Linked DNA regions of Macaca fascicularis. The protein of the gene in region 1 interacts with the protein of each later gene in a pairwise test. Links are inferred from orthologs where the notes say so. Each region holds a gene or a part of one and is shown in the gene's direction. Other genes may lie near its edges. The genes, in order: EGFR, PRKCZ, DNAJC4, HSP90AB1, CBR1, MGARP and FGR.

What was found.
Region 2: the proteins of EGFR (region 1) and PRKCZ interact in a protein complementation assay, tested with the Homo sapiens proteins (3 studies listed by BioGRID and IntAct, with this or other methods). The link is inferred for Macaca fascicularis from reciprocal best matches to the Homo sapiens genes EGFR and PRKCZ.
Region 3: the proteins of EGFR (region 1) and DNAJC4 interact in a protein complementation assay, tested with the Homo sapiens proteins (2 studies listed by BioGRID and IntAct). The link is inferred for Macaca fascicularis from reciprocal best matches to the Homo sapiens genes EGFR and DNAJC4.
Region 4: the proteins of EGFR (region 1) and HSP90AB1 interact in binary tests that used the Homo sapiens proteins (3 or more experiments, as listed by UniProt). The link is inferred for Macaca fascicularis from reciprocal best matches to the Homo sapiens genes EGFR and HSP90AB1.
Region 5: the proteins of EGFR (region 1) and CBR1 interact in a protein complementation assay, tested with the Homo sapiens proteins (2 studies listed by BioGRID and IntAct). The link is inferred for Macaca fascicularis from reciprocal best matches to the Homo sapiens genes EGFR and CBR1.
Region 6: the proteins of EGFR (region 1) and MGARP interact in a protein complementation assay, tested with the Homo sapiens proteins (2 studies listed by BioGRID and IntAct). The link is inferred for Macaca fascicularis from reciprocal best matches to the Homo sapiens genes EGFR and MGARP.
Region 7: the proteins of EGFR (region 1) and FGR interact in binary tests that used the Homo sapiens proteins (3 or more experiments, as listed by UniProt). The link is inferred for Macaca fascicularis from reciprocal best matches to the Homo sapiens genes EGFR and FGR.

The regions. Positions count from the first base shown.
Region 1 is NC_088377.1:75,246,011-75,249,510, reverse strand, and holds part of EGFR (epidermal growth factor receptor), read left to right. Parts: intron 1-192; coding exon 193-309; intron 310-891; coding exon 892-1,018; intron 1,019-1,116; coding exon 1,117-1,190; intron 1,191-2,017; coding exon 2,018-2,108; intron 2,109-3,500. UniProt on the Homo sapiens protein: Receptor tyrosine kinase binding ligands of the EGF family and activating several signaling cascades to convert extracellular cues into appropriate cellular responses.
Region 2 is NC_088375.1:232,605,381-232,608,880, reverse strand, and holds part of PRKCZ (protein kinase C zeta type), read left to right. Parts: intron 1-1,327; coding exon 1,328-1,463; intron 1,464-1,573; coding exon 1,574-1,661; intron 1,662-3,500. UniProt on the Homo sapiens protein: Calcium- and diacylglycerol-independent serine/threonine-protein kinase that functions in phosphatidylinositol 3-kinase (PI3K) pathway and mitogen-activated protein (MAP) kinase cascade, and is involved in NF-kappa-B activation, mitogenic signaling, cell proliferation, cell polarity, inflammatory response and maintenance of long-term potentiation (LTP).
Region 3 is NC_088388.1:10,164,321-10,168,415, reverse strand, and holds the start of DNAJC4 (dnaJ homolog subfamily C member 4), read left to right. Parts: upstream 1-1,295; 5' UTR 1,296-1,609; coding exon 1,610-1,695; intron 1,696-2,962; coding exon 2,963-3,056; intron 3,057-3,524; coding exon 3,525-3,709; intron 3,710-3,795; coding exon 3,796-3,960; intron 3,961-4,095. Other genes in the region: uridine diphosphate glucose pyrophosphatase NUDT22, read left to right, coding at 15-112, 245-338, 612-752.
Region 4 is NC_088378.1:127,264,848-127,267,314, reverse strand, and holds the end of HSP90AB1 (heat shock protein HSP 90-beta), read left to right. Parts: intron 1-109; coding exon 110-257; intron 258-372; coding exon 373-641; intron 642-1,130; coding exon 1,131-1,464; intron 1,465-1,574; coding exon 1,575-1,684; 3' UTR 1,685-1,967; downstream 1,968-2,467. UniProt on the Homo sapiens protein: Molecular chaperone that promotes the maturation, structural maintenance and proper regulation of specific target proteins involved for instance in cell cycle control and signal transduction. Undergoes a functional cycle linked to its ATPase activity.
Region 5 is NC_088377.1:10,882,558-10,886,515, reverse strand, and holds the start of CBR1 (carbonyl reductase [NADPH] 1), read left to right. Parts: upstream 1-1,158; 5' UTR 1,159-1,251; coding exon 1,252-1,540; intron 1,541-2,073; coding exon 2,074-2,181; intron 2,182-3,291; coding exon of another isoform or gene 3,292-3,563; coding exon 3,564-3,958. UniProt on the Homo sapiens protein: NADPH-dependent reductase with broad substrate specificity. Catalyzes the reduction of a wide variety of carbonyl compounds including quinones, prostaglandins, menadione, plus various xenobiotics.
Region 6 is NC_088379.1:144,415,373-144,418,431, reverse strand, and holds the end of MGARP (protein MGARP), read left to right. Parts: intron 1-1,679; coding exon 1,680-2,122; 3' UTR 2,123-2,559; downstream 2,560-3,059. UniProt on the Homo sapiens protein: Plays a role in the trafficking of mitochondria along microtubules. Regulates the kinesin-mediated axonal transport of mitochondria to nerve terminals along microtubules during hypoxia.
Region 7 is NC_088375.1:207,442,968-207,446,467, forward strand, and holds part of FGR (tyrosine-protein kinase Fgr), read left to right. Parts: intron 1-465; 5' UTR 466-605; intron 606-1,088; 5' UTR 1,089-1,151; intron 1,152-2,321; 5' UTR 2,322-2,334; coding exon 2,335-2,560; intron 2,561-3,107; coding exon 3,108-3,210; intron 3,211-3,500. UniProt on the Homo sapiens protein: Non-receptor tyrosine-protein kinase that transmits signals from cell surface receptors devoid of kinase activity and contributes to the regulation of immune responses, including neutrophil, monocyte, macrophage and mast cell functions, cytoskeleton remodeling in response to extracellular stimuli, phagocytosis, cell adhesion and migration.

The DNA.
Region 1 (3,500 bases):
AGAATTTATTAAACTATTGAACGGAATTCCTTTTCTATTTGCAACCTTTCATTCTTTGTCCTTAAAGTAAATAAAGCCAAAGGAGGATGGAGCCTTTCCATCAGCACTCGAGAGGAGGACCTGGACTGTCTGTGTGAGGCCCGAGCACCTGGCGCCACCGTCGTCACCTTCCTTTCATGCTCTCTTCCCCAGGTAATTATGTGGTGACAGATCACGGCTCGTGCGTCCGAGCCTGCGGGGCCGACAGCTATGAGATGGAGGAAGACGGCGTCCGCAAGTGTAAGAAGTGCGAAGGGCCTTGCCGCAAAGGTAGGAAGCCCGCTGGTGTGCGGATGAGGCTTGTTCTCAGCTGCTGAGGCTGGGCTTTCATGCCACCTCCAAATGAACACTACTTCTTCTTCTCATTAAAAAACAACTATAAATATCATTTCTTTAAAATAGAAGATAAAGCTGCAAAGCCAGGTTAGGCAATGGGAAGGCACTGAAGGTTGTGATAGGGTGGGGGGCTCCGACGAGAACAGTGCACAGAGCCAGCCCCTCAGCAGCTGCCAGATGCCCAGCCCTGGGGAGAATCCAGGGAAGGCAGAGCTGGAAGCAGTCCAGCTCCATGCGGCCCAGGGGAAATAATGAGGAGAATGCAAGGTCGGTGTGCAGTGACAGGGATGGCATCTCCTATACCGCCGTAGCCCCAAAGTGTGCTATAGGTCCTCGTGTCCCCCTGCCCCCCGCACCCTCCCCAGCCCCGTCAGTGTTTGTTGAGTGAATGAAGGCTGATATGGCAGTGGCAGTTCCCGCGACTGGAATTCCTTCCTGCTTCCCTCTGCCTGTGGATCCCTAGCTATTCTTAATCCACCAATGTGAACGGAATACACGTCTCTCTTATCTCTGCAGTGTGTAATGGAATAGGTATTGGTGAATTTAAAGACACACTCTCCATAAATGCTACAAATATTAAACACTTCAAAAACTGCACCTCCATCAGTGGCGATCTCCACATCCTGCCGGTGGCATTTAGGGGGTGAGTCACAGGTTCAGTTACTTGTATAGAGAAAAACAAAGTCTGCCTTTTTAACTGGTAGAGACAGGAGATCAATAATCACCTGTTGTTTGTTTCAGTGACTCCTTCACACACACTCCGCCTCTGGATCCACAGGAACTGGATATTCTGAAAACCGTAAAGGAAATCACAGGTTTGAGCTGAATGATCGCATGAATATAAATGGGAAATCAGTGTTTTAGAGCGAGAACTTTTCGACATATTTCCTTCTCCCTTGGAATAAAAACATTTCTTCTGAAATTTTACCATTAATGGCTGATGTTTTGATACTTTTCAAAAGTACAGTTTCCCTGCAGGCAAAAGGGGACACGTTAAGCCCAGGCTTAGGTCATTCACTGCGCATGTGAACACGCTTTCTCCCTCCTACCCGGCCCCAGCCAGCTGCCTTGGTGGCCCATAACCCCTGCGGGTAGAGGGAGAGGACAGGGGTAGGCGAGGGGCAGCCTGGGCCTCAGGCTTTTGAAACTGGATGCCAGAGCCCTGTGGGGCCACGGGCAAGCCTCGGGTCCATGACTGCCACCTGAGCTCCGCTTCCTTCCTCTCTAAAATGGGAAAATTAGACTTATATAACACAACTGTTTTAGGGTTGGAATCAAATAAGGAAAATCTGTAAAGCTCCTTGTATGTGATACCAGATCCATAATTGGCAGATAATCGCAGCAGGAGCCTCTTGGGGGTAATCAGATACCCTGCGCAGCAGGGGTCCCAGGGCCACAGCCAGAGGGGCGGCGGGAGACATGGGGAATCGCTGGGGGAGGCGGGAGGCAGCCGTGAACTCTGGCTGGCCTGCATCCGCCCATTCGCATGTACACTCAGAGAAGATGATAACGAAAAAGAAAGCAAATCCAATTTTCCCACTCACTGTTCCTATAATACAAAGTCCCTGAGAGTCTAGAGTAATGTCTCATACAAAAAAGAAACTCCTGTGTGGTGTGTGTCTGAGTCTCCTCTGCCTTACAGGGTTTTTGCTGATTCAGGCTTGGCCTGAAAACAGGACGGACCTCCATGCTTTTGAGAACCTAGAAATCATACGTGGCAGGACCAAGCAACAGTAAGTTGACCACAGCCAAAGAGCCTGGTAGATTACATTTTGCCTTTTTAGTTGGAAATTAGGCTTAACAGGAGAGTTGCTAAGATAGGGCACAGAGCTCCTGTATCTCTCGCCGGCATTCCCGAATGCTATCTCACATGAGCAGGCACAAGGATCAAGACTGAACGACCACTGGCACAGGCTGTCTGCTAAACCACAGACTTCTCAGCATTCGCCAGTGCTTATGCTTCTGTGTCCACTCCAGATCCCACATTGCACTTAGTTGTCAGATCTTTTCAGTCCATTCTAACCTGTAATAGCTCCTATGTCTTTCCTTGTCTTTCATGGCCTTGACTCTTATAAAACGTGTTGTTCAGGTACTTTGCAGACTGTCTAACCATTTCAGTTCGGCTGGTGTTTTCTCAGGATGCAGTTGAGGTTATGCACATCTTATCACGGGGACCAGATAGACTTTTTAGCACCACTCTTTAAGAATTTCCACATTTTCAGCTTTGACAGTGGAATAGACTTGCAGGTGCTCACACACAAGCATCTTTAATATGGTAATGGTAATCATCAGTTTAGTGGTATGGAGGAGGAGATGGGAATCTCTTAGTAAAACCAGCCTTGGAAGCAGCCCCCTTATGAGAACTGCTGCCCCTACTTGACTCCTAAAGCACTAGATAATACTGTGCAACATTAAAGAGAGTAAGAGTGCATGAAATATGCATTGCCTCCCATAAACTCCCTTGGCTCTGAATCTCTGATACTAAATATGTGGCTACCATTGCTTCCCAGAAAAGCCTTTTTGCTCTGAATTCTCTGGAATACCTTCTTTGCCTGAGATTCTTATAAAAACAAGAGATTTAGAGCAAGTTTCTTGGATGGCTGGTATGAGCCAGTTGGCTTAGTTGTAGGGATTTAAACAAGATAAGGGTTACTTACTTTTCACATTTAATGAGAAGTCTGGTGATTCCAGCTCCTACTGAGGCAGGGTGGCCACAGGTTCCAGGTCATGACTCACTGAAGCTCCAGGCCTGCCCTGCAAGGACCATCTGGCTCTTCCCTGGTGTCTGGCCTCCCTGGGCATATGTGGGGGAGAATTCCTAATGGTATTGGTTACAGGCTCCTATGCAAGACCACTCATCAGTGTAGGAGAAAGGAAAAAGATGGGGGAAAGAAGAGCAGCAGGGAGAGGAGAAGCCTCTGGATGATACTCTAACCCCCTGCCATCCAACATCTGAACATCAGTCTTTTCATCCAGTGCTCTCAGCTGGCCCAGTCCCCAGCCTGGGGTCAGATGAGAGCTTCCTGCAAATGCAGATCTCTTTCCTGTGGCTCCTTCTCAATTACAGACAGCTCCTCCACAGGGTGCACTCTGGCCTTTTACTCCCTCCCCAAACCAGCCCAGCC
Region 2 (3,500 bases), on another chromosome or scaffold:
GAAGGTTCCATGCAATTTTGTGAGTCACCTTAGATTCTTTCTGGCAATAGGACAGTAGGCAATAAATCTAGAACAGTGCACTCAGTTCCCACACGCTCTTGTTAAAAACCGTGGCAAGATACACACACACACAAGGTAGCGTTTTGGGGCATGGAGTTCAGTGGCACTGAAGGCCCCCCGTGCCACGCAGCCACCGCCGGCCCCCGTTCCCAAAGCACGCCGCTCTTCCCTGCTGAAGCTCAGTCTGTCGGACACTCCCTTCCTGTCCCCCGCCCCAGCCCCACGTCCTCGCCCCAGATGGGCATGTCCCACTTTCTGTACCTCTGATTCGAGGACTCTAGGGACCTCTTCGCAGTGGAATCACAGTGTGGGTCCTTTGGTGTCCTGGAGTCCTCAGGGTTCATCAGTGCTGTGGCCTGTCTCAGGATTGCCTTCCTTTTTCAGGCTGGATAATGCCCATCGGATGGAAGGGCCACACTTTGCTTCTCCGTCCATCCCTTGGGGGGCACTTGGGTAGCATCCGCATGTTGGCCGTGGTGAACATGGGTGTAAAGTAATCTCTTGAACACCCTGCTTGCGGTTCTTTGGGGTATAGGCCCAGAAACTGAATTGCTAACCACAAAGGAATTCCGTATTTCTTTTCTTTTTTTTTTTTTGATGGAGTCTCGCTCTGTCACCCAGGCTGGAGTGCAGGGGTGCGATCTCAGCTCACTGCAACCTCTGCCTCCCAGGTTCAAGTGATTCTCCTGCCTCAGCCTCCTGAGTAGCTGGGACTACAGGTGTATGCCACCACACCCAGCTAATTTTTTTTGTATATTTAGTAGAGACGGAGTTTCACCATATTGTCCAGGCTGGTCTTGAATTCCTGACCTCAGGAGGTGATTCGCCCGCCTTGGCCTCCCAAACTGCTGGGATTACAGGCGTGAGCTGCCCAGCCTGGCGCTGTGTTTAATTTTCGAGGACCTGCCGGACTGTCTTGCGCAGCAGCGGCGCTGTTCTGCACTCCTACCGCAACGTGCCAGGGCTCCAGTCTTTCCCGCGTGGAAGCCGTCGTGTTATTTGCCTGCTCCTCCCCGTGTGGAGGCTGCCACGTCGTTCTCTGTGTCTTTGACAGCAAGCCATCCTAAGGCGCATGGGGCGGTTTTCTGGAGCTTTCATTGCATTTCCCTCCCTGGCCCTGTGCACTGAACTTTCAAATCCTGGGCCTGGTTGTTGAGAGGACGCCTGGCCCGTGGTAGGGCAAACGGGAGCGTGCGGCCCCCAGGCTGGAGCTGTTGGTGCAGCCTCCGGCACAGGCCCTGTCCCCATGACAGCATCCCGCCCCCAGGTTCTACGCGGCCGAGATCTGCATCGCCCTCAACTTCCTACACGAGAGGGGGATCATCTACCGGGACCTGAAGCTGGACAACGTCCTCCTGGACGCGGACGGGCACATCAAGCTCACAGACTACGGCATGTGCAAGGTGCGTGCCTCGGGCCGCCTCCCCCGACCATCCCGCGTGTGCTTCTCAGGGCGCCTGTCCTGCGGGGTGGTGTCTACAAGAACCCTCTTGTGATAACTCTGCCCCCACAGGAAGGCCTGGGCCCTGGCGACACAACAAGCACTTTCTGCGGAACCCCGAACTACATCGCCCCCGAAATCCTGCGGGGAGAAGAGTACGGTGAGTGCCGCGGCCGTCCCCTCTCGGAGCACACGGGGCCAGAAACAGCCTCGCGCCTCGCCCAGCGGCGGGGGAGAGGTTTCGCTGACCATCTTCCACCCAAAAGCCACACACTCTTTCGCAGCCGGATGTCATCATCTGGTCTCAGCCCCTTCTTTGAATTCTTGAAAACCTCCCGTGTCCACTTGAGCAGCCCCTTGGGGAAGGGCACCGCACAGGATTCCTCCTGCCAAGGAGCCCCAGGGGCACAGGGAGGGGAAAGGCACAGAAAGCGGGGGTGGGACAGGGTGCGGCACCTGAGTCCCCGTGCTGCCCACGTGGCTGGGGAGAAGCAGGTGTCTGGGAGCACCAGGAGGTGCAGGAGCGTGTGGAGAGGACCCCACCGCCCCTGCGGCTGAGGGTGCCACACACACCGGAGTGTTTCTGCTCCTCTCCCGTCTCTGGGAGTGAAACATGGACATGGTGGGCATGCGTGTGCAGCCCTGTGTGCGTGTGTGCTGGTGTGTTGTGCTGAGTCTTTATGTTTTGGGCATCCGTGTATATTGTGTGCACACGCATACTGTGTTTGTACACACCCCATCCACTTTTGCATCCTGGTGTTTTGTTTGCTTTTTTTTTGAGACAGAGTCTCGCTCAGTCGCCCAGGCTGGAGTGCAGTGGTTCGGTCTCGGCTCACTGCAAGCTCCGCCTCCTGGTGTTCACGCCATTCTCCTGCCTTAGCCTCCCGAGTAGCTGGGACTACAGGCGCCCGCCACCACCCCTGGTTAATTTTTTGTATTTTTAGTAGAGACGGGGTTTCACTGTGTTAACCAGGATGGTCTCGATCTCCTGACCTCATGATCCACCCGTCTCAGCCTCCCAAAGTGCTGGGATTACAGGCGTGAGCCACCGCGCCCGGCCTCATGCTGGTGTTTTCAGTGAGGCATACACGAGTGTGCCTTCAGATGTTTTTACACATTTTTTTGCCATCAGAATGGGGGTGGGGCAGGAAGGGTGGGCAGGTCACTCACCCCTGGGATAACTGGGCTCCCCAGCTGCCGCGATGGAAGTCTCCGTGGCCAGAGAAGGACAGATAGCAGATTGGAGGACTGGAATCCATTCTAGAACCCAGCTCGGGATGGGGATTCTGGGGGGGACAGCGGCAGCGTCTCACCTCAGCAGGGAGCAGGGGGACTTCTGGGGACCCAGGGGCAGCTGCCGTCCTTGGGCAAAACTGCTCAGGGCCTCCCACCCCCATTCGCTGGAACACGTTCCCATCAGGTTGGCTACTTGAACATTTTTAAAAAACAAAATAGCCGGGCACGGTGGCTCAAGCCTGTAATTCCAGCACTTTGGGAGGCCGAGACGGGCGGATCACGAGGTCAGGAGATCGAGACCATCCTGGCTAACACAGTGAAACCCCGTCTCTACTAAAAAAATACCAAAAAAAACTAGCCGGGCGAGGTGGCGGGCACCTGTAGTCCCAGCTACTCGGGAGGCTGAGGCAGGAGAATGGCATAAACCCGGGAGACAGAGCTTGCAGTGAGCTGAGATCCGGCCACTGCACTCCAGCCTGGGCGACATAGCGAGACTCCGTCTCAAAAACAAAAAATAAAACAAAATGACTGTGGAAGAAAACCCGGGAGAGTCTTTCCGTTATTGCAGCAAAAGGGCTTCTTCAAGCTTAGATCTGTGAACGCAGAAACGAGAGAGGAGGGTCATCCACAGGATCCACCAGTGCCTCGTGCCTCTGTGGTCACAGGTGCCCTGGCAGGACTGACAGCCCAGAGACAGCCTGGAGACCTCCATAGCGTCAGGGACGGTGGCAGGGAGGCCGAGCTGCCAGGCGGAGCTGCTGGT
Region 3 (4,095 bases), on another chromosome or scaffold:
ACCCTCCACCACAGGTGAACCTGCCGCTACTCACCCTGAGCCAGCCCCTGCTGTTGGGCATCGCCCGAAACGAGACCAGTGCTGGCCGAGCCAGTGCCGAGTTCTATGTCCAGTGAGTGGGCTCGGGTACATGATCCTGGGTCTTGGGGAGGTGGGTGGTGAGGAGTGGGCTGAGGCAGCTGTGGCTCCACAGGGACCCCGCAGGGGCTGGTCACCCACTAAGCCACCCTGTGTTCTTGTCCAGGTGCAGCCTGACTTCTGAGCAGGTGAGAAAGCACTACCTGAGTGGGGGACCCGAGGCCCACGAGTCTACAGGCATCATCTTTGTGGAGACACAGGTGCAGAGTGACAAACCATCTTGCTTGGAGGCCAGGGCTGGGGCCTGCAGAGGCCTGGCAATGCATTATCCCCAGGTGTTGGCTGGGTCACAATTCCCTCCAGAGGCACAAGATTTGCCCTTAGTACAAGGGAAAGGTCCAGGGACCTGTTCAGCCCCTTAACATGCCTCCCTAAGGACAGCGCAGAGGTCTCTGAGGCTCAGGAATTCTGGGCACAGCCCTGGCAGGAGATGTGGCAAGCTTGAATGCCTGGGTCTTGTTGTCTCCCCACAGAACGTGCGGAGATTGCAGGAGACGGAGATGTGGGCTGAACTCTGCCCCTCGGCCAAAGGCGCCATCATCCTCTACAACCAGGTTCAGGGAAGTCCCACCGGAGCAGCCCTAGGGTCCCCAGCCCTACTCCCACCGCTCTGAAGATAATAAAGGACTTTATTCTTGGATTCTGTTGGCATCTGCTATTTCTGTGACAGAGAGGAACAGTGGGCCCTGAGTGCGTAAGGCAGGACAAGTGACCTGAGGAAAAAAAAAACCCGCCCAGCCTCAGTGTCCTTCTCTACAAGCAGAGGATAAAGAGCTATGGCTCCCTTGGCTGCCTCCTGAGAGGCTCCGGGGCCGAAGCAGCTCTGTAAGATATGCCTCGCTGCAGAGGGGAGCAACAGAGGAACGGAGAGACGGTGGCCGGGCCGAAAGCGTCACAAAGCCTCAGAGAGCGGGCTCTGTCCCGCCCGGTCCCCGGGTGGGCGCCCGCGCCTGTCCGGAGAGTCCACAGGCTGGGGGACCGGAGGCACCAAAGGCCAATAGACATGTAGGGGCGGGGGCTCCACCGATTTTTTTTTTTCCCGCCTGGTGGACGTGGTCTTGGCATCCACGCCAATGAGAGTGCGAGGGCGGGGCCTGAGTAGACGCAGGAAATGGCGACGGCCGCGGGTCATTGAGCAGCGGGGGCGGGGCCTGGTTGTGGCCCCTCCTTCGCCCGTCCACAAGCTCCCTGGGTGGGAACGGGGTCTCGGAGTACCTGGCTGGTTGGCCAGACCCCGAAGCCAGCGCTGGGAAGGGCTGCGGATGCCCGGGTGAAAGAAAGGGGCAGGTCCAAGAATACGCAGGTCTGGTCCTGGGCAAGAACCGCCCCCTCCCGGGGCCTGCTTCAGTCTTCCTTCGCAGAACACCGGGCCGGGCCCCTTCTCTCTGCCCCCGGGTGCTTGAAGTGTAGCCCCCATCCTGGTACCAGTGCGCTCTTGGTAGCCTCCTTTCCCAGCTGTCCGCCCGCCGCCATGCCGCCCTTACTACCCCTGCGCCTGTGCCGGCTGTGGCCCCGCAGCCCTCCCTCCCGGCTCCTCGGAGCGGCCGCCGGGCAGCGGTGAGTTGGGCGCGGGGGGCCGGCCCGGTTGTTCAATGGGTTTCTGTTTGCCCTATGTGCTGAGATAGTTGTGGTCTCTACTCCGTGTCAGGAGGCTCCCAGGTTTGTCTCAGGTAACCCTCGCCTTCCCTGCTGAGGATCAGAGATAGAGAAGACCCCCAAGGTCATACACCGATTTAAGCAGCAGAGGAGGAGTTTGAGTCCAGGTTAAACCCAACGCTCTTACCACAGCTCTAGTGGTTTCCAGGCATCACTGTGCATAACCCTCTGTGGGAGGTGGGAGATGGGGAGGTGTTGGGTACAAAAATCCAGATTCCTCGGCTCTGCTCTAGAGATTCTGAACTGGAGGAATCAATTAGGTGGGGCTCAGGAATCAGTTTTTTCTTTTTTTTTTTTTTTTTTTTTTTTTTGAGACGGAGTCTCGCTCTGTCGCCGGGGCTGGAGCACAGTGGCCGGATCTCAGCTCACTGCAAGCTCCGCCTCCCGGGTTCACGCCATTCTCCGGCCTCAGCCTCCCGAGTAGCTGGGACTACAGGCGCCCGCCACCTCGCCCGGCTAGTTTTTTGTATTTTTTTTTTAGTAGAGACGGGGTTTCACCGTGTTCGCCAGGATGGTCTCGATCTCCTGACCTCGTGATCCGCCCGTCTCGGCCTCCCAAAGTGCTGGGATTACAGGCTTGAGCCACCGCACCCGGCCAGGAATCAGTTTTTTCTTTCTTTTTCTTTTATCTTTTTTTTGGAGACGAAGTTTCGCTCTTGTTGCCCAGGCTGGAGTGCAAATGGCACAATCTCTGCTGGGCACAACCTCGGCTCACTGCAACCTCTGCCTCCCGGGTTCAAGCGATTCTTCTGCCTCAGCCTCCCCAGTAGCTGGGATTACGGGCATGCGCCACCACAGCCAGCTAATTTTGTATTTTTAGGAGAGACAGGGTTTCTCCATGTTAGTCAGGCTGGTCTTGAACTCCTGACCTCAGGTGATCCGCCCTCCTCGGCCTCCCAAAGTGCTGGAATTACAGGCGTGAGCCACCGCACCTGGCCAGGAATCAGTATTTTCTAACAAGTCTTTGGACTCCACTTTGAGAAATCCTGACCTGCACTATGCCTGAAACACTCCAAAGGGAGACAGATTTGTCCTGGGACCTGTTTCAGCCCTCTCAGCTCCTGGTAGCTGAGTTGAAGGGTGTAGCCCAGGGAGGGGCTGGGAAGGGCAGGGCAGAGCTAGCTTCTGGGTTCCCTCAGCCCCTGCAGGTTTTCGACTCTGTCCACAGGTCCAGCCCCAGTAATTATTATGAACTGTTGGGGGTGCATCCTGGTGCCAGCACTGAGGAAGTTAAACGAGCTTTCTTCTCCAAGTCCAAAGAGGTACCGGTACCCCTAAGGTGGGGAGGGGGAGCAGGAACTCTGAGCCAGTGGGGGTGTGCTTCAAATTCCCAGGAGTAGACCTGCATCTCTGGCTGGTGCCACATTTTTTTCAGCCCTCACAGTGAGTGGCGGGTGCTCAAGGGTGGGGGGAAGGCTGTGGGCAGGAGCCAGGGGTCCTGTCTGATGGGCTGGGCTTCGTTTTCTTGACCTGCCTGCCTGCTCTTAAGAAACCTGGACCGGGGCATATGGTGAATGCAGGGGGCTGGCAGGTGGGGAGGGCTTGAACGCAGGAGGAGGCAGGAGTCCATGCTCTCTGGCCTTCTGAGGAGTGGGCAGGCCTGAGTGAGGGTCACTGACCAGGCAGGGCTCCTGGGTATGACTAGAGCCCTGGTGTGGGTGGATGTCATCAGCATGGGTCCTGGGGAGGGACAGGCAAAGGGAGATAAGGGGAGTCCTGCCCCACCCCAGCTGCACCCGGACCGGGACCCTGGGAACCCAAGCCTGCACAGCCGCTTTGTGGAGCTGAGTGAGGCATACCGTGTGCTCAGCCGTGAGCAGAGCCGCCGAAGGTATGATGCTCAGCTCCGCTCAGGTGGTCCCCCAAAGTCTCCACAAACCACAGCCCATGACAAGTCTGCCGGCCAAACACACAGGTACAGTAATCCCGCCCTCAACTTGCCCCACCCCCAGGTCTCTTGGGGAGGCTCATTTCCACAATGTCCCTTCCTCTGCCTCCCAGCAGCTCCTGGGCACACCCCAACGCACAGTACTGGTCCCAGTTTCATAGCGTGAGGCCACAGGGGCCCCAGTCGAGGCAGCAGCAACACAAACAAAACAAGCAAGTGCTGAGGTACTGCCTCCTCCTCATGCTGGCGGGCATGGGCCTGCACTACATTGCCTTCAGGTGATGCCTGTTCTCCCTGGGGTGATGGGCAGAGGGCAGGAGGGTGGGCGAATTCCAGTGTGGTCAGCCAGTCCTCCACAGCACCTCGTGTCCCGTACTATTGTGTCTCTCAAGCTAAGAGTTGCTTGAAATCGG
Region 4 (2,467 bases), on another chromosome or scaffold:
TGCTTATTCCCTTTACCACTTTCTTAGTAATTACTAACAAATTTTTCCATTCACATAGAAAGTGAATTGTAGTTAAGTTGGATTGTTTTTTCTCTTCCCACCCTTCAAGCTTGGAATCCACGAGGACTCCACTAACCGCCGCCGCCTGTCTGAGCTGCTGCGCTATCACACCTCCCAGTCTGGAGATGAGATGACATCTCTGTCAGAGTATGTTTCTCGCATGAAGGAGACACAGAAGTCCATCTATTACATCACTGGTGCGTTGGTTCTGATGGAAGCCTTTTTGGAGGAGTGGGGAGCACATTTCAGGGCTACCTAGGAACTGGCAGTATGAGGCATTTTAGTCACTGAGTCCATTTAATTACCCTACAGGTGAGAGCAAAGAGCAGGTGGCCAACTCAGCTTTTGTGGAGCGAGTGCGGAAACGGGGCTTCGAGGTGGTATATATGACCGAGCCCATTGACGAGTACTGTGTGCAGCAGCTCAAGGAGTTTGATGGGAAGAGCCTGGTCTCAGTTACCAAGGAGGGTCTGGAGCTGCCTGAGGATGAGGAGGAGAAGAAGAAGATGGAAGAGAGCAAGGCAAAGTTTGAGAACCTTTGCAAGCTCATGAAAGAAATCTTAGATAAGAAGGTTGAGAAGGTAAGCCATTCTGGAGCTAGGATATATTTTGTAACATACCTTTGAGGTGGGCTCCCTCACAATCATGTTTTTACACAATTAGTGGCTTGAGGCACCCTATTTACTGTTTGGAGCCTTCTTGCCTCTTGTTCTCTTCCCTAGCCAGGTTTAAGGCTATTTTAATAAAATTTGGCACAGATTAGGCATTGCTTCAGTTAACTTGTGAGAGTAGATAAAATATTATTTTCTTCTTTTTTTGACTGGATCTCAGCTCACTGCAAATTCAAGTCTCCTGAGTGGCTGGGATTACAGACATGTGCCACCACACCCGGTTAATTTTTTGTATATTTTGTAGAGAGAGGGTTTTGCCAGGTTGGTCTCAAACTCAAGTGATCGGCCCCACCTCCTCCTCCTCCCCCTGCTGGAATTACAGGCTTGACAGTGTCCGTTTTCTCTTTCAAAGTGGTCACTGATCTAATGCAAATCTAAGGCTTTTGTGATTGTCCACAGGTGACAATCTCCAATAGGCTTGTGTCTTCACCCTGCTGCATTGTGACCAGCACCTATGGCTGGACAGCCAATATGGAGCGGATCATGAAAGCCCAGGCACTTCGGGACAACTCCACCATGGGCTATATGATGGCCAAAAAGCACCTGGAGATCAACCCTGACCACCCCATTGTGGAGACTCTGCGGCAGAAGGCTGAGGCCGACAAGAATGATAAGGCAGTTAAGGACCTGGTGGTGCTGCTGTTTGAAACCGCCCTGCTCTCTTCAGGCTTTTCCCTTGAGGATCCCCAGACCCACTCCAACCGCATCTACCGCATGATCAAGCTAGGTCTAGGTAAGCAGCTTTGGTACTTGATGTGGCAAGGAGTTTGTGCAACTAGGCTCCTGTCTGGATTTGACTTAATGCTATTTAATCAAGTCTTACATGGCTTAATTTTACTTTAGGTATTGATGAAGATGAAGTGGCAGCAGAAGAACCCAGTGCTGCAGTTCCTGATGAGATTCCCCCTCTTGAGGGCGATGAGGATGCGTCTCGCATGGAAGAAGTCGATTAGGTTAGAAGTTCATAGTTGGAAAACTTGTGCCCTTGTATAGTGTCCCCGTGGCTCCCACTGCAGCCTCAAGTGCCCCTGTCCCACCTGGCTCCCCCTGCTGATGTCTAGTGTTGTTTTTCCTCTCCTGTCCTTGTGTTGAAGGCAGGAAACCAAGGGTGTCAAGCCCCATTCCCTCTCTACTCTGACAGCAGGATTGGATGTTGTGTGTTGTGGTTTATTTTATTTTCTTCATTTTGTTCTGAAATTAAAGTATGCAAAATAAAGAATATGCCGTTTTTATACACTTTTGCTCTCCCTTGTGAAGTGGATGTTTATTCTTCCCTAGCTTCTCTATCCCCCCCAGCTCTTGCTGTTTTCATGAGCACAGCAAGTTAAGCTGGTTTTGTAGCTAAGATACAGAATACCAGTGAGTCTTAAGAGTGCACACACTGAAGCTAAAGGCAGTTTTTCTGAAAAACTACCATATAATAATGCCTTTTCAGTCAAAACACAGGACCAAGTCCATTACTGTAATTTAATTTAATAAAATAAAATTATAAGAGCAAAAAGTTACATTTCTAAAGTACCAAAACCTACAACAGGCTCATGGAGTAGAGCCTAGGGATCCAGGAGCATAGGAGGTGGTGGTGCTGGGCAGGGATCTGCATCCCCTTTCCACAACACAGCACCATCTTCACTTCACCCTCCTGGGAAAGCAGCATTGGAGCCTACACCGCTTGTGCTTTTCTCACCAGGGTAAGAAATGCAGGTATTTGCAGAGGGGAGTCTGGAAGGCAGCAGAGC
Region 5 (3,958 bases), about 64 Mb from region 1:
ATAAACTCTCAGGATAGATCTCTGTTTCTTCATTTTAAGATGGGGATTAAAAGGTACATCCTGGAGTGTTATTTTCAGTGTAAAATATGGCTGTGAAACCTCCTACACCTATGCACAGGTAAACTGATGGCCCTGCAAATGCCCAGAGAAGTCACCTTGTAAAGATTTAATGAATGTTTCCCACCATTATTGGAAAATCTGGCTAAGTCAGTAGCTTTGTTTTCATATACTTAGAGAGGAAATCAACAAAAACTTGATACCCTGTCATTTCCTTCCAGTTTCTTCTGCAACTCTAGCTCCAAAGACTGCAGTTCCTGCAGTATATATATATATATATATATATATATATATATATATATATATATATAAATATATATATATATATATATTTTTTTTTTTTTTTTTTTTTTGAGACGGAGTCTCGCTGTGTCTCCCAGGCTGGAGTGCAGTGGCGCGATCTCGGCTCACTGCAAGCTCCGCCTCCCGGGTTCACGCCATTCTCCCGCCTCAGCCTCCCAAGTAGCTGAGACTACAGGCGCCCGCCACCACGCCCGGCTAGTTTTTTGTATTTTTAGTAGAGACGGGGTTTCACCATGTTAGCCAGGATAGTCTCGATCTCCTGACCTCGTGATCCACCCGCCTCGGCCTCCCAAAGTGCTGGGATTACAGGCTTGAGCCACCGCGCCCGGCCTTTTTTTTTTTTTTTTTAACAGGAAAAAAAAACATGCAAATGTACTATTTCTTCAAACACAACTAGGAATGATTGAACAGCTGGGGGAATAGGAAGAAAACCCCTCAGAGAACCAAGGACAAGCAGTGGCACATGGCCACTACGAATGGTTCTTCACTGTTATGTGGGCAGCCGGCAGCCAGCAGCTAGAGTCCGTCCTCGCTCTTCAGCCAGCAGTTCTGCAAAGTCAGGCCAGCTGGCTCTCCGCCCGCGGGCTCGCTCTTCAGCCAGCAGGTTCTGCAAAGTCAGGCCAGCTGGCTCTCCGCCCGCTCTGCACCCAGGCGAAGTTCGGGTGGGGAGGGGTAGGGGTGGTTCCGCTCCGCCCCGCCCCGCGCCCGCCCCTCCCCGCTAGGGGCGGGGCCTGGGCCTGCGCCTGCGCGCTCAGCGGCCGGGCGTGTAACCTACGGGTGGGCGCCCCACGCCCGCCAGATTCGCGCAGTCTCTGGGATACACGCCGCGCATCTCCAGGGCCTGAGCCAGGTCTGTTCTTCACGCAGGTGTCCCGCGCGTCCCATTCAGCCATGAAGTCCGGCATCCGTGTAGCGCTGGTGACTGGAGGCAACAAGGGCATCGGCTTGGCCATCGTGCGCGACTTGTGCCGGCTGTTCTCGGGGGAAGTGGTGCTCACGGCGCGGGACGTAGCGCGGGGCCAGGCAGCCGTGCAGCAGCTGCAGGCGGAGGGTCTGAGCCCACGTTTCCACCAGCTGGACATCGACGACCTGCAGAGCATCCGCACCCTGCGCGACTTCCTGCTCAAGGAGTACGGGGGCCTGGACGTGCTGGTCAACAACGCGGGCATCGCCTTCAAGGGTACGGGGAGGGGACGTGGCCTCCCCGACGTGGGCTGCTCCTGTCGAAGAAGCGCTGCACTGGGGCTCCTACCGGCTGCGGGGTCCAGAAGGACTCCCTAGGGAGGAGAGGGAGGAGCTGGGAGATGTAGGGAGTGCAGAAACCTTAGAGAAAGGGAGTTTTCCAGCCAAAGGGAACTTTGTGTTTCCCTGGCTCGGACTTTTGGGGATCTCTTTCAGATTTTCTGCAGTTTTTCTGAATTGAGCTTTAAGGCCATTGAATGAATTTTGAACTGATTTTAAAATAAACGATAAATTGCAAAAAGAAAAAATGGTTATGCCAAGATCCAGTGTGTGCGCCCTTCATCCTCTTTCCCCCAATGGTACCATCTTACAAAAACACTAGAACGTTATCAAACCAATAGATTGGCACAATACTGTAACCAGACACAGACTTTAGACAGAAGGCACTAATTTTTTATTTTTAGTATCATTCTATAGAATTTTACCTTGTGGGTACAATGTGTTAACTATGTTCTCTTTTTCTCCTAAAAGTTGCTGATCCCACACCCTTTCATATTCAAGCGGAAGTGACGATGAAAACAAACTTCTTTGGTACCCGAGATGTGTGCACAGAATTACTCCCTCTAATAAAACCCCAAGGTGAGTCTGATGGGAAACAGCGCACCTTCTCTTTGGGGCTTGACTCTGGCCCCTGCTTGTCTGGGATTTCTCCTACAGGCTCCTGCTTCCTCTCCATGCTGCATGTGCACTGACCTCTGTGCTTTGTCTCCTGCCAGCTGATAGGTGCCATTCTGCCTCAGGACTTTGTCCTCACTTCTCCCACTCCCATGGCCATTCGTCCTCCCCATCCCACTGGTCTTTGCACACCTGGCTAACTCTCTTAGCCTTCAGGTCTTAGCTCAAACGTCTCCTGAGAGATGCTCTTTCTTTGCTCCATGCCTCTCCGCGTGGGAGTCCATCCTGTACCCTTTCTCTGCTCTTTCAGAGAGATGTTATTCAGGCTGGTGGAACCTTTACTACCACCAGTTCATTAGGCCCTTCTAATACCTGTCACCTGTCTGGAACACTCCTTAAGCTCCCGACCACATAGTTGTCTTGCTGCCTTTCCGTCTCTTTCTGATGCCTTTCCCCACAATCTAGGATGTTTCCAGAGGATCCCTGTCCTTTTCCCTAAGTTATCTGGGACACAGACCCCACCACCTACCCACCAGGATCGTGCAGGTCACCATGCCCCACCCCTCATAATCACTTACTAGGTCCTAGGAGTTGTGCCCACTGAGTTCCTCCTGAATCCATCTCTCCGGCTTTACAGCAGGCCCTCACCTGTCCCTCTGGACAACTGCAAACCCTCACAGGGCACCTCTGGTCTTGAGTCTTTTCCTTTCCCAGCATCCTGCATGCTGTCTGCATGGTCATGCCGCTCCCAAAAATCCTTCAGGAGGAAAGTCCAAGCCCTTAGCATGGCACACAGAGATGTCCATAATCTGCCGCTGCTTAACTCCGGGCCCATTTTAACTCCCCTTCAACGTGCTCAAGGTGCTGGATACGACTATCACATTTCTTTGGTTGTAAACTGCTGTAATCGTTACCCTAAGTAATGGGACAGGAGATGAACCCACCCATTAAATAAAGCAGCAATTAAGCAGCTACTTTTAGAAAAATTTAAATGTGTGGCTTCGAGTTGGGTACTTTCATGTACGGCTTACTCTCAGCTTTTATCCTGTTTCCCTGTCCTGTCATCCTATTAAGTTGTGCTACTTCTAAGGCTCTGGTTCACCAGGACCTCAAAGGGCAGCTCTTCCAGATCTCACCTGACTCTACTCAGCCAAAATTTGAAGGCAGGAATGAAGTTCTTTATGCAACTACCACCACACTTGCTATGCGCATTCCTCTTAGAACTCATACCAGCAACTGTCTCTCATATGAAAATTTTCTGCTTCAAAATCCCTGCAAATTTGGCATTCACCTTTCTACAGGATTGTTGCACACCTTTCTACATAATGCTTTGTGGTGTATCTTAGGGAGAGTGGTGAACATATCTAGCATGATGAGTCTCAGAGCCCTTAAAAGCTGCAGCCCAGAGCTGCAGCAGAAGTTCCGCAGTGAGACCATCACCGAGGAGGAGCTGGTGGGGCTCATGAACAAGTTTGTGGAGGACACCAAGAAGGGAGTGCACCAGAAGGAGGGCTGGCCCAGCAGCGCATACGGAGTGACGAAGATTGGCGTCACCGTTCTCTCCAGGATCCACGCCAGGAAACTGAGTGAGCAGAGGAAAGGGGACAAGATCCTCCTGAATGCCTGCTGCCCAGGGTGGGTGAGAACCGACATGGCGGGACCCAGTGCCACCAAGAGCCCAGAAGAAGGAGCAGAGACCCCTGTGTACTTGGCCCTTTTGCCCCTGGATGCTGAGGGTCCC
Region 6 (3,059 bases), on another chromosome or scaffold:
TTGAGGCACTAATTTCCATCCGTTTAGTCTAGCAATGAACACTATTTGCTTTTGGCTTCTTTCCTAGCTTAATCCAGAATGACTCTGGGTATAAGTTCATTTAGAAAGAAAAAGCTCAACTGAAACCTGAAGAACACTGTTACACCTTTTGGATGCATGCATTTGACAAATGAACGTTTTACAGTTATATTGCTGACCAGTGACTTTTGACTTCTTGTGATAATATTACTTTCCGCTGCTCAGGCATCCACCCATGCAGGCATGAGCTTTCATTTTCCTCATTATTTAAAATAATAATATAACTAATTATCTTTCAGTTTGGGCTAAGATCACCTGTGTGCCTTTGTGCAAACAAGGTCCATTTGACACAACAGGATCAGTCGTGTATATTGAGTCCTTCATTTGATAAAATGGTGACCATGGGAACAGAAACTTTATATTTTCACTCTTTCGTTCCTTGCTTCCTACACTTCTTTCTCCCTCCCTCCCTCCCTGCCTTCCTTCCCTCCTTCCCTCCCTCCTTTCCTTCCTTTCCTCCCTCCCTCCCTCCTTTCCTTCCTTTCCTGCCTTCCCTTCCCCCTTCCCTTCCCACTTCCCTCCATGGGTTCTCCCTCTGTCAACCAGGCTAGAGTGCAGTGGTGCAATCATAGCCTACTGCAGCCTTGAACTCCTGAGCTCCAGCAATCCTCCTATCACAGCCTCTCAAGCAACTAGAACTACAAGCATGCACCGCTATGCCCAGCAAGTTTATTTTTTATGTTTTGCAGAGACAGGGTGTCACTATGTTGCCCAGGCTGGTCGTCTTGATCTCCTGGACTCCTATGATCCCCTCCTGCCTCAGCCTCCCAAAGTGCTGGGATTACAGGCATGAGCCACTATGCCTAGCACCTTCTTGCTTTAAACCATACTTTTTTGCAAGCTATTATTATCAATTACTATGATCACTATTTAGGGATAGAGATATTAGAGGCTTATGAACCAGTTTTCACCTGTCATGACAATAAGAAGAAACAGAATATCATCAATACATATTATTGAATATAATCACGTGGTTATTTATAATACTAATAAAATAAGCATTTTCATAGAACTTTTTATTTTAATCCCCTTTTCATATACAGTATTGTAATTAATCTTTACAATAGCCCTGTGCAGTAGATATTATGAATACCCTATTTTACAGATGACAAAAATGAGGTTGAGAGAGGATTAGTGATTTCTGAGTCACCAGCTAGGAACTTGGCTACTCTTCCATGCTATCTCATATGAAAGGTGAATAGGGTAGCTGCTTATTTTTGTATTCTTCATCTTTGCCTAAGTAACATATTCAAGTGTATTTTTTTAAGTTCAAAGAGTTTACAGAAAAGCAGAACCCCCATTTTCCCTCCAAGAGGCAACCAATAAAACCAGTTTATTTGAATCCTCCTGGAGAGTTTTTGCAAATACAATTACGTAGGCATACAACTTACCCGCCTCCTGCTCCCCTCCCATTTTGCCCTAACAATACTAGCAGACTGTATACGTTGTTCTTTTTTTGCTGTTTCACTTGAGAGTCTACCTTGAAGACGGTTACACATCGGTGCATGTAGCTCTGTCTTACGTGTTTAAATGACCACAGTGTTTCATTGCCTTCCCGCGATCTTTAAATTAATACCTTGCTTAATGACTCATTCTTAAAGGTGAAAAGGAGAATGTTGCGGAAACTGAGAAAGCAAGTTCAGAAGCCCCAGAAGTACTTGCAGTGGAAGCCGAGGTGGTAGATGCTGAAGAAAGTCCCGGTGCTACAGTTGTGGTCATAAAAGAGGCATCTGCCTGTCCAGGTCACGTGGAGGCTGCTCCGGAGACCACAGCAGTCAGTGCTGAAACTGGGCCAGAGGTGACAGATGCAGCAGCAAGGGAAACCGCAGAAGTAAACCCTGAAACAACCCCAGAGGTTACAAATGCTGCCCTGGATGAAGCTGTCACCATCGATAATGATAAAGATACAACAGAGAACGAAAGCTCTGATGAATATGCTGAACTAGAAGAAGAAAATTCTCCAGCTGAGTCAGAGTCCTCTGCTGGAGATGATTTACAGGAGGAAGCCAGTGTTGGCTCTGAGGCTGCTTCCGCTCAAGGCTAATCTCCAGCTGGTAGACATTTCAGCAACAAATGCCATAGAGTGTCTGATAAGTGCTTTTGTGTTTTTAGTACACTTAGTTTACAAAAAAAAAAAAAGACATTTTCTAGAAAATGTTAATGTGTCTTGAAGATTTTTGGCATCCACTGATAGATTTTAGGACTGAGAGACTTGAGATTGTACATTTCTTATTACTATTCTACTGTCTGAGATCAGAATATGACATTGCAGTAAAGAGCTTAAATAGTTTCATCTTTGGCTTTTTTTTTCCTAGACATTTTTCTTTTATCACTCTATCTCTGAATTGACATTTTATATGAGAGAAATTGAGCTATCCATACAACCTGTATTTACTTTAATTTTGCTATGCTTTTAGCTTACTTTATTGTATGGTATGTAGGTCTAAAATATAGTTTGAGTCAAATAAAATTAGAAAAGCTTTGGTGCTTCTACTTTTTTCACTAATATTTGCATGTACAAATAATACATATTAACATACACATACATAACATCACATGAGAAATGCAAGCTTTCGTAATATTATTGAAGAAACAGCATATAGTCTATGGAGAACCCTGCATATAACAATATGTATGCCCTCTCCCATCTATAGTACTTACAAAGGGGACTATGTAGATATTTTCTGTTTCAGTTCAGTTCAAACAATATTTATTGAGGATTAACACTTTGTGCCAGGAATCATTCATTCATTCACGTGATCAACAAATATTAGCTGAGCACTTACAACATAATAGGCATTGTTTTAAGTGTTCCCAGTTTATATTCTAGAGTGGAACCAGGTAACAAGACAAATGAGAAAATTATATAGTATATTAGATACTGATAAGTGCTAAGGATAAAAGTAATGAAAATAAAAGGATTGTGTTAGTTCGAGGTGGAAGTTGTAATTTTAGGTAGGATGGCTAAAAGAGGCCTTACT
Region 7 (3,500 bases), on another chromosome or scaffold:
TCTGAGTGTTGCAATGGCAGAGTTTCTGGCAGGGTGTGGGGGACCCTTGCTCAATGACCTCCTGCCCTGTTGCTCAGAGGATACAGCTGCCAGAAAAGAGTTGGCTCATTGTGGGCCTTCCCAAGGGACTCTGGTGGCCCCAACTTCTGACGTGGTCCTTTCCCTGCTATGGGGATAGGGGCAGAGCTCCGGAGGCAGGTATCCACTGTCACTCAGCCACCACATGGAACCCTAGGGTGGCTGGGAGCACAGCAGGGTTCAGAAGAAGGACTGTTTTTTGTTTGTTTGTTTGTTGTTTTTTGAGATAGAGTCTTGCTCTGTCACCCAGGCTGGAGTGCAGTGGTGCGATCTCGGCTCACTGCAACCTCTGCCTCCCGGGTTCAAGTGATTCTGCTGCCTCAGCCTCCCGAGTACCTGGGACTACAGGCGCCCACCATCACGTCTGGCTAATTTTTGCATTTTTAGTAGAGATGGGGTTTCACCATATTGACCAGGCTGGTTTCGAACTCCTGACCTTGTGATCCACCCACCTCGGTCTCCCAAAGTGCTGGGATTACTGGCATGAACCACCGCGCCCGGCCAGAAGAACTGGTTTTTAGGAGAAGGTGACTGGGGACTATGAGGGAGCTGAGCATGGCTTGATAGAAATCCTGTTAGAGAGATGATTATAATGTACAAAATCATGCGTGTCTGAGTGTGTGTGTCTGTTAACCTGGCAGGCACCACATGTATATGTGCATGTGTCTGTGTGTGTGTTATTGTGAGCTTGGGCTTGTTAGAGCCTCTGTTGGCGTGTGACGGTGTTGGCATGCACACTCATGCAAATGCATGCTGTGAGTGTTGTTGCGAGACTGTGCTGGTGTGTCCCGTGAGTATGAGTGTGAAAGAGAGCTGGTGTGGGTGGTGTGCCCTGTGTGACAGTGGTTGTGTAAGTGTGCCAGGGGTGATAGGAAGGAAACTGAAGGCAGAAGTCATGCTGGGGCAGAGCCCAGGCCTTCTGGCTTCCTGAAGAGGGCAGGAGCTGGGCAGCTGCTGACAGAAACATTGGCAGAGCCTTCATCTTCCTTGTCCTTCTGTCTCACCCTCAGGTCTCTGACCCCTCCCAAGGATCATGCCGCAGCCCCACTGACCCAGGAGTAGGGGCCTAAGGGGTGAGTGGGGTGGACTGAGGGCTTTCAGGGTCACGAAACAGGGTGGGGGTGGCCTTCCTGAACCCCACAACTCCTCACAGCCCCTTCCTCCTATAAGGACCCTGTTGCTAGGTAACAGATGGGGGAGCCAGAATGAGGCAGCTTGAGAGGCTGGAGACTGGACCCATGACAGGAAATGGCCTTGATCCCCCTCTGCAGTGACTCTCCAGGTGCAGACACACAGCCTCACACACACTCACACATAAACATGCGCAGATATATAGACATACACGCAGAGATACATCCAGAGACAGGCACACTGCTCCCACACAGAGCTACGTGCACATTCCTAGACACACAGACACAGAGACACCCACTCACACAGACAGGCACACATAGACTCACACAGAAGCACATACACACAAACACGGTCTTACAGACATACACACATGCAGCCAAACACATACATAGAGACTTTTACACACTGTCACATACACACAAACCTGCACACACAGACACACAGACATCCATAAAGAGCTGCACACACACGCATACCCACACAGGCAAACTCACCCATACTTAGAGACACACAAAGACACACATGTACAAGCACACTGAAAGAGTCACAGAAACACAACATATCAAAGCATTAGGACCCAACCTGAGCAATATAGCAAGACTTTGTCTCTACTAAAAATCGAACAAATTAGCCAGGGGTGGTGGCACGCACCTGGAGTCCCAGTTCTTGGGAGGCTGAGACCAGAGGATCACTTGAGCCCAGGAGATCAAGGCTGCCGCAAGCTGTGATTGTGCCACTGCACTCCAGCCTGGGCAATAGAGTGAGAGCTTGTCTCAAAACAAAACAAAACAAAACAAAACAAAAAACAAAGCAATAGGAGGCAAAAATATACAAATAAGCATAGCAATATCCCAATGTAGAAAGCCAGCCCCGGAGACATAGACACGAGCCAATGGAAAGAGAAGCACTGAGCGGGGACATACTGTGAGGCAGACTGAACGGTACAGTAGGTGGCCCGGCTCCGTTTTTTTCCCTTAGAGGGAGGACCCCAATCTAGGCCCAAGAGAGAAAGCCATGTGCCTGTATGAGCGTATGAGCATGTGCGTACACGTGTGTGCACAGAGTGATGCACCTGGCAGGGGCCCTTGAGTGAGGCATGCCCCATTCTGTAGCAGGGAACCTGGAATGGGCTGTGTGTACTGCAAGAAATTGGAGCCGGCGGCCACGGCCAAAGAGGATGCCGGCCTGGAAGGGGACTTCAGGAGCTACGGGGCAGCAGACCACTATGGGCCTGACCCCACTAAGGCCCAGCCTGCATCATCATTTGTCCACATCCCCAACTACAGCAACTTCTCCTCTCAGGCCATCAACCCTGGCTTCCTTGATGGTGGCACCATCAGGGGTGTGTCAGGTGAGTCCAGGGGGCTGGAGTCAGGTGCTGCCTGGATCCTGGGAGAAACTGAGGGAAGAAGAGGAGATGCGGACTCGCCCTTAGGAGCCTCCAGTAGGATGTGGCAGACACAACCCCGCTTTCAAGATCACACAGGCTGAGGGAGTCTGTACAGCCCTACCGTCAGAAACCACAGTCTGCAGGGGAGGGTCAGGAAGCTCTACTCCCAGGCTGAGAGGGGCATGACCCTGTGACAGATGCAAGTGACAAAGAGAAACGTCTTGCCCTTTTAGGAGCCACTTCCCAGATGGGAAGTCTTCTTGGTGGGGAAGAGGAGGAGTGGGCAACAAGGGGATCCTCCGTGGTGGGAGGAATGGGCTTGAAGTTGTGTGTCCTAAGCTGTGGAGACCAAATCTGAAATTCCTTAGACTCCAAAGGCCTTTGGGAGCCGGGGCACTAGAGGAGTGGGGAGGTGCAGCGCCTGGCTGGGGAACAGGAATTTGGGGGTGCAGCCCCCTTGGTGCTTCTGCCCCATGCCCTACCCTGCTGAGTAGCCCTGACTCTGCAGGGATTGGAGTGACCCTGTTCATCGCCCTGTATGACTATGAGGCTCGAACTGAGGATGACCTCACCTTCACCAAGGGCGAGAAGTTCCACATCCTGAACAATACGTAAGTGACCAGGCCACCTAGTCAGAACATTGTCTGGGCTGGAAGCAGGACCCAGACAGGAATCCCGCCTGGTCCCTAGCCTCAGAATGCTCCAGCCTAGTTGCGAACACATATACATAAAAATAAAAACCCTGGATGATTGCAACTGTGTGCTGGGGTGGGGTGGGGGGTGGGGTGGGGGGTGGGTGGGCAGGTGTTGGGCCACTGCAACCGGCCTGGAGAAGGTGATTTTTTAAGCTGAGGCTATAAAAATGAGATAGACGGCCAGGTGCGGTGGCTCACGCCTGTAA